2 linked regions of the Coturnix japonica genome follow. The protein of the gene in region 1 purifies or fractionates together with the protein of each later gene. This does not show direct contact. Links are inferred from orthologs where the notes say so. Each region holds a gene or a part of one and is shown on either strand. Other genes may lie near its edges.

The links.
Region 2: the proteins of CHAMP1 (region 1) and CBX3 purify together in Homo sapiens (affinity purification with mass spectrometry; 6 studies listed by BioGRID and IntAct, with this or other methods). This does not show direct contact. The link is inferred for Coturnix japonica from reciprocal best matches to the Homo sapiens genes CHAMP1 and CBX3.

The regions. Positions count from the first base shown.
Region 1 is NC_029516.1:123,375,702-123,379,611, reverse strand, and holds the start of CHAMP1 (chromosome alignment-maintaining phosphoprotein 1), read left to right. Parts: upstream 1-1,220; 5' UTR 1,221-1,398; intron 1,399-1,830; 5' UTR 1,831-1,931; exon of another isoform or gene 1,932-1,946; intron 1,947-3,910. UniProt on the Homo sapiens protein: Required for proper alignment of chromosomes at metaphase and their accurate segregation during mitosis. Involved in the maintenance of spindle microtubules attachment to the kinetochore during sister chromatid biorientation.
Region 2 is NC_029517.1:29,453,715-29,457,557, reverse strand, and holds the start of CBX3 (chromobox protein homolog 3), read right to left. Parts: upstream 2,870-3,843; 5' UTR 2,757-2,869; intron 1,493-2,756; 5' UTR 1,466-1,492; coding exon 1,442-1,465; intron 1-1,441. Other genes in the region: HNRNPA2B1 (heterogeneous nuclear ribonucleoproteins A2/B1), read left to right, coding at 3,078-3,107.

The sequences.
Region 1 (3,910 bases):
ACCACCCTGATAGCCTCACTCACTTTCTGTTGTCCTATTTCTTACTGTGGTGCCAACCTGTTCCCTTGATACCTACACAGAGGTAGTATGGACTTTTAGCCACAAGTGCTGCCAAACACACTGCCTCTGTGTGGGCTCTGAGCTGTGACGGATCACTGCTAAATGCCACCTGATGTTACGACAGATCATGGAGACAACCACCAGCCCTTCACAAAACAATACAGGCTTGGGCTAATGTTTCAGCACTGCTGAGGTTTGTATGCGGATTCTATCTGAAAGTGAAAGCAGAAGCAGTTTTTGGAGACCTTTGCTGGGTGAGGAGACCGACAGCAGAGCTCATGTGTCTCCTGCAGTGAGGACACCACGATGCTCATTCCTCCTAACCTATAGACAGCAACACCAAACATTTTAAAGATGTTTTTAAGAGATCGGTACGAAACTATGAGACCAGGACAGCTGGACTAGATGGTTGTGTAGGTCATTTCCAACCTTGTGATTCTATGAAATATTTACAATCATGGAATCATAGAGCTGCTCAGGTTGGAAAAGACCTTAAAGATTATGGAGTCCAACCACAGCCTACCCATAGTACCCTAACTAACAGCTCTCTGCTCCACTGTGTCTCCGAGCACCACATCCAAAGGGATTTTAAGCACATCCAGGGATGGTGACTCAACCACCTCCCTGAGGAGCCTGTTGCAGTGCTTAAAGGAGTGTTTCCTGACCCAAAGCTTTTACTGGCCCAAGAAAGACAGCTTCACTTAGCGCTGCTTTAGCAACCCCACCACCAACGCAGGTTAGACACAGAAGGGCTCATGTGAGCACTATAGAGGCCAGCAGAGCACATTAGGGCAGAGCAGGTAACCCAGCACAGCCATGAGACCATCCTCCTGCTGGTTTGAAGCAGGGCACTGAACTGACAAAGGGGGCGTGGTTCGTGTGAATTAAGCCCATTCTGTGCAGGTGTCACCGCAAACAAGAGGTTCATTGCTTGATGCAGGTTAGATCTGTAATTTAATTTAATTGTAATTTAGCTCTTGGAAGGCGTAGCCCACATCAACCCCGCACGACGTCCCATAGCTGACAGGATGCTCCCGCCTCCCGCCGCCGCTCCGCCTTACGGCAGCACCACCTGACCGAGAAGGCGGGAGGCCGCGAGGGGCGGGACTGAGCGCGGCGCCGGCGCTTCCTGTTGGGCGGCGGGCGGGCCCGGGGGGGCGGTGAGGCGGCCGCCATTCGGCTGCGCGCCTCCTCACGGCGCCCCCCCGTCCCCCCGCCCCCTCCTTCTCCTCCTCCTCCCCGCCCCTCGCACGGCCCGAGCCCGCTAGCGAAGCCGGCCCGGCCCGGCCCGCCGCCGTGTGTCCTGTGTTGCGCCCGGCCGCTGGAGGTGCCTCGGCGGTGAGTGCGGTGAGAGCGGGGAGGCCCTTCCCGCCGCCCTCAGGCGCCGAGCGGGCTCCTCTCCGCCCCGGGCGGCGGGCCGGGGCCTTCCCCTCGGTCGGGGCCGCCTCGGGGCCGCAGGGCGGGGGGCTGCGGGGTTCGAGTGCGGGCGAGGCCGGGAGGCGGCGATGTGCCGGGCCCCCGCAGGCGACGCCTCCCGGCCTCGCCCCCACTGGAACCCCGCAGCCGTTCGGGGCGATCGGAGCCGGCCTCGTGCCGAGCCGGGCCCCGCGGGGAGGGAGGGTCCGCCGCACCGGGGCTGTAAGTCGGCACTGCCGGGAGCCGGAGCTGGGGCCGAGCTGTGCGATTTGTGGCAGGGAGGTGGAGATTCCGACTTCGTTCTTCCCTTCCCTCAGCCGTCCTCACGTCGAATTTTGTCTCGGTGTAATGCAGGTGGAGTTCGTAGCTCGAGGTCACCGCGGGAAGGGTATGGTACAGCGTGCCTGTGTGTGCTCCTTGGTCCCGTGCCGCTTCACCAGCTCAGCTCTGCAGAAGTACGTTGTTTTGAGGTCAGTTTTGGAAGCTAACAGCGCATTATTGCTAATACGGAGTTACACTGCCCTGTCTGAATGATATGAAACGGTAATTTCTTATCCTTAATCTTGATGTAGGTATGTCAGATACTTAGTACTTTAGGTTGCCCCTCGTTCTTGTACTAGGAACTCACGTTGCTCTGCAGACTTGTCCTAGCAAAGACAGAAGGCCCATGAGGTAGGTGAAGTGCTGCATCCTTCATGTTCTCAAAGCCTTCAGCATCAAGCACTGATGACACTGTTCAGTTTTCCTCTGAGCTGAACCTGGGACTTCATCGTGCAAGAGCCCCCTTGCTGGACCAAGTGCATGCTCTCCCAGCACATCTCTCAGTGTTGGTGGCTGGCAAAGTCAGGGTGTCGGAGCCTCCTCTCCTAGTGCAGTTTTAAAGCTGGACCCAGCAATCACTGCTGATGGAACACTGCACAAATGTGATTGCTGGTGTTGGCAGCGTGGCTGTGAGTAGTCAGGTTTCTGTGGGCTCTGTGGGGTAGCAAGAGCATGGTGCTGCCTCTTGTTCCCTGTGTGCTGGAGCCAACCCTCACATCTCCTCTGTGTACATTGGGAAGCACCTGCTCCGCTTCATCGCTGCCTGTGGGATCTGAGCTTCTGTTTCTTGTCAGCCATTGCACAGGTTTAGGAGAAGCAGGGTGTTGCCACAAGAGTGCTCCTGTCTACTTCTTGGCACTGCAGGAGTGTGTCACTTTCCCTTTTGCCTAAATACAGCTGCAGTCTGATCTGGTCCTGCTGGTAGAAGCCATGGTGCAGCTGTATCCTGGTGTCTGGTGCTGGGTACTAACTTTACAGTCAACCATCTCCATTGACAGAGAATGTGGCTGAAGTCTTTGCCTGAGCTTCCACCAATGGAAGTGAACAGCCATCTTTCTTGTGCAGTGGACAGGGCTTGTCAGAGCAGAGCTGTGATGAGTGGCACCCTGTACAAGTGAGAGGATTATCTGAGGAAGACATTTCTAGGAGTATGGGCTTACTTCATCATTTGCTTGATGAACTGATAGAATCGTGTTGCACGCTTGTGTGGGAGGATGCTGGAAACCATTGCTTCACACTAGTTTGTTGCTCATTTTTCAGGATGGTGTGGATGGCAGCACTATTTTTAGGTCCCGCTGGATCTGGAGAAAACAATGCAAATACAGGGTATCGTATAAAATGTATAACTTCCTTTTCAAAGCTGCACTGGCGCCCCTGATGTGCTTTGCACATCCTCATTCTCTGCTTGTCTCTCATTATGATCAATTCTTTATCAAGAGGGAGAGAAGTATAGCTCCTTTTGTCAGTGAGAACCAGGATGGACTGGTTTTGAAGGATGATACATCAGTCTGCATGTTGCCATATTCTGAAATTCTGCACATCATGTTAAAAAGAACCTGTAACTATGGGATTGAAATGAGATTGAGAAATGGAGACATTTTGTTAGTTGCCAGAGTCACTGTGTTGTGCCTAACACTGTGGGCCTATTTTTGGTGGCGCACAATGTCTCCTGCAGATTTCTTTTATGCCACTGGGAGGTTTGTGAGAGGTGTTGGGATGAATGGCTAATCCTGCACTGGGATTGTGACAAGCAATGAGATGCTGAATCCTGGAACTAGGTCTGGAGTGGCCGTAAGTCCTGCTGGGTTTGGGCTGTTCCTGTTGCTCAGCTCAACACAAGCTGAGTCCCTTCATCAGATTTTCACTTGAGTCCTGGGTGTTGATCTGTGTCCCTTATAGGCCAGCAAAAAGCTGTGGTCGAGCTAAGAGCTGAGCTGGCACCAGCACTGTTACTGTGCTTGATGCTTGTGGACGGGAGCACTTTGCTGTTCAGATTGAAATCTTAACGTCTTGGAAAAATCTGAAGAAGCTTTGTCTGCCCTTGGTTAAAGTTTAGTATTACAAACTCCAGAATCTTAGTGGAGGCTTCTTTGCTTCTTTTCTTGTCAGTGCT
Region 2 (3,843 bases), on another chromosome or scaffold:
ACCTTAGCATGGGCATCTAAGCACTGGATGCTCATCTGAGGCTTGCTCCCCATTCAGAAGTCACATCCGACAGACAGAGATGGCTTTCAATGGGTAATGACTCCTTCTTTAAGGGGCAATACTAGAACAGAGACATGACGTTGTGATGGAGTGTTACACGATACGTGAGGTAACAAAAGCAGAATTACAGTTCCAGAGCTACACTACCCCCAATAGATCTAAGTTTTGCATTCAAATATGCAATGAAGCAGAATTAGTTACGGTTCCCATGGGAACCATAACTGATTTTTCCTGACCTGCAGCAAAATTCTGAACATAATAGCAAAAATACTGCAGTTGCAGACTCCTTCCCTTCCCTGAGGCCCTCCCTGGGCTGGTAACTGCTCCTCTTCCTCATAATAGGGAAAAGTGGACAATCAATTGCTAACAAAGTTCAGACATTCATCTCGATGTTATCTTTAGAACGGTTTGCCATCATATAATATCAAATAAGCACTGTGCTTCGAAGCCAGGAGTTAAGAAGAGTTTTTAACGTGCCTCAATGTGGGTCAATTAGCAACCATTGGAGTAATTTAAGAACGGGCCTTTTGAGTGCATGATAAGTCCGTTGTTCTGCTATCCAAATGTCCAATTGTATCCACGCATCCTGCTTCAACCTCAGATGCATCTCATGCTATATTCCTTCAGTTCTTCCACACACACACATATATGTGTATATATATATATATATATCGATATATATGTATTTATATATAAAGTAAGTAGTTGAATGGCAATTAAAATCATTTTTCCAGCAACCAACTGCCTTTAGAAGTTCATATTTTAACGTCAAGCAAAGCTTTACAGGGACTTGAGAACCATGAATGCGTCATTAAAATCGTTCAGGAGGGGTTGACATCTGATCATTTCTGTTCCTATGAAATTCAAATAAACTGTTATTTGGTAAAAAAAATGATAATAATAATAATAATAATTTCAAAGGGCATCTTAACTACACCACATCATTTCCCAGTAATGTTATTTTTCTTCTGTATGACCGCCTTTACTCAGTTTGTTCTTCTATTTCTCTGAATAGACTAGAAGAAATCAAACGAATACATGATTTTACTTATTTTTACATAAACGATGAATTACATGGTATCCTGAAAGGAGGCTAAAAAAAATCCTTAGTGCTTTCTACAACAGGACAGACGAAATAGTGCACAGTCCTTGATTTTTTTTGGTATTCCCCAACAAGTCTCTGTAGAAATGGCAGATTTGTTAAAGCCAAAGAGTATGTCCTTTCTAGTAGCCTTACTTTCTGGACCTGAAATTTTGGTCAGAAAAATGCTGGGGAGGGGAGATGTGGATGTATCTTTTTAAATGGAGATGCCAAGTTATTAAGTTTGAAGAAAAATATGTTGATTAAATCCTTACATACTTTAGGTGTGCGTGAACTTACCAATGTAGTTTTATTGGAGGCCATTTTTATTGCAGACTTGCAGAGCTTTTACTAGAAAAATGCATGACAATTAAAAGGAAGTTGACGTTACTCAAAGAAAGGCATCCCAATACAACATGGTCCTTGTTCCAACCCCCATGTATTCACGGCATAGAACATTTACAGGATGGATTAAATCCAGGACAAGAAGCAGCTTACTGCTTTGTCCGGCATAACCCAGTAACACACCTTTACCTAGTCGGGATATATAGTAACGAAGTGGTAGATGGGGGGGAAAAAAGGTTTTTCCAAGGCCTTCTAAGGCACGGAGACGTTTGTAGGGAAAAGGGGGAGGACCATCAGGGATGCTTATTTCCTTCAACCCAACAGAACAGGAGCTCAGATTCCAGCAGTTAACTCAAATATAGCTTTAGACGTGTTAACTGTGGATCCGGCGGGGAGCAGCTCCACGTCTGGAGTGTAACAGAGCACCCACCGCTTTCCAAACTGCGAATATTTCTTTTAATACACAACGCTGCCCTCCGATTCTCAAGTTTGAACGAATTAAAGGCCCTGCACCGACGTGAGCTCGGCTAAGCTGCACACGCTACGTTTAACCTAAGCAAGCGAGTCCAACACCATCCATCCCCTTCACCACCACACCTCTCACACCGACCACCTCTTTAAGCACGTTATCATCCCTGCCCCGTTCCAACTACAAAACTTCGGATCGCACACAGGCCCGAGCACGGCACAGCACACGGCCCTGCAGGGCCCGAGGGCTCAGCCCCCCGCTAGGGGGGGGGGTGGGGGGAGCGCGGCGGAAAGGGCCGAGCGGGAGAGCTCCTCGCGTCCCCATCGGAAAGAGAAAGGGGAAAGAAACCACAAGAACGATCCCGATACCCCCCACCCCCAACCCATAAGGAACGGAGCCCCGCGGGCCGCCGGGAGGGAAGGAGGAAAGGAGGGAGGGAAGGAGGAGGAAGGGGGGGCATCGCCTCGCCATGCCCGCCACCCCCCGCCCCGCCACGTTTCCCCGCCGCGGAGGCCGCTCCGGGCGCTGGCGGGCGGCTTTGTCTGCCCGGCCCGGCCCCGCCGCCCACCCGCCCTCCCTCCTCCCTTCCTCCTCCCTTCCTTCCTTCCTTCCCGCGGGGCCCTCCCGCCATGCCCACTCCTCCCGCGGCCGCCGCGCTATAGGGGTTGGTGGTGGTGGGGGGGGGGGGGGAAAATCGGCCGCACCCCGCGCTCCATCCCCGCGGATGTCGGCGGGGAGTAAACGTGGGAGCGGGGAGTGCCGCCGAGACGAGGAAAGAAGGGGAAAAAGAAGGATACAGACTTCAGTGCCGCTCGGCCGCGCCGCTCCCCCGTCTCCTCCCGGCTCTCGCCCTGCGCGCTCTGAGCGGCGGCGGCAGCGGCGGCATCCGAGGGGCTGAGGGGGGAGGGGAGGGGGCGGGGAGCGGCGCGGGGCGGGACGGGCGGTGCGGGGCGGGTTGGGCCGAGCTGAGCGCGCCGGCGGCTGACGGGGCAGAGCGAACGACGCCGCCTACGCGCCAGCCGCAACCTCCTCCCGTCGTCGCCGCCAGCACAGGAGGGGGCCAAGACGTCTGTCCCACGGGGGGCGAGCGCAGGACCGCGCCAGGCGTCCAAAAGGAGGAAGATGCCTCGCGGAGACAGAGAAAGCGACTGGGTGAGGGAGGCCGGCGGGACGCGGGAGGCAGCCGCCATCATGGCCGCCACCGCCAGGGAGGGAAGGAGGGAGAGGGCCCGGGGAAAGGCCTTTATTGGCGGTTAATGGAGAGCAGAGCGGGGCTGCAGGGGGACAGAAAGCGGGAGCCCCGGTGCCGTGTCGCTGCTGCAGGGCGGCAGCACCCAGCAGCACTCGGCAGCACTCACCCTTTCTCGCCGCGTGTGAGAGGAAAGGGGAGGGCGGGAGGGAGGCGAGCGCTGCGTGGCTGCCGGCGGAACGAGGCCGGGCCCAGCGCTGTCCGCCGGGCACAGCTCCAGGTCAGCGCTGCCTCCCGCCTGGGCCGAGGGTGGAGGGGGAGCAGCTGCGTTGTGTTGTACCGCGCTCCCGCCCGCCGAGGGTGGTGGGGTGCGGGGCCGCTGCGGCTAATTATAACCCCGCACTACGGGCTGCAGCGATCGGCAATTTCCGGAGAGAGGGAAAAAAAAAGAAGGAGCGCTGTGCCAGCGACGCTCGGGCCGCTTCGGGTCTGCTCGGGCCTTTTCGGATCTGTTCGGGCACCTATGAGAGAGCCCTTCCGCTGTCGGAAATTGCCGAGTGGGTTGGGGGAGTCGGTGAGCTCTGCGTCTTTTTTTTCCGGAAATTGCCGAACTTGAGCCGATCGCCTGTTTCGTCGGTGTCGGCTGATTCCGGAAATCGCCGAAGCGAGCCGAACGGGCTGGCGTTCCTCTTTCGGCTG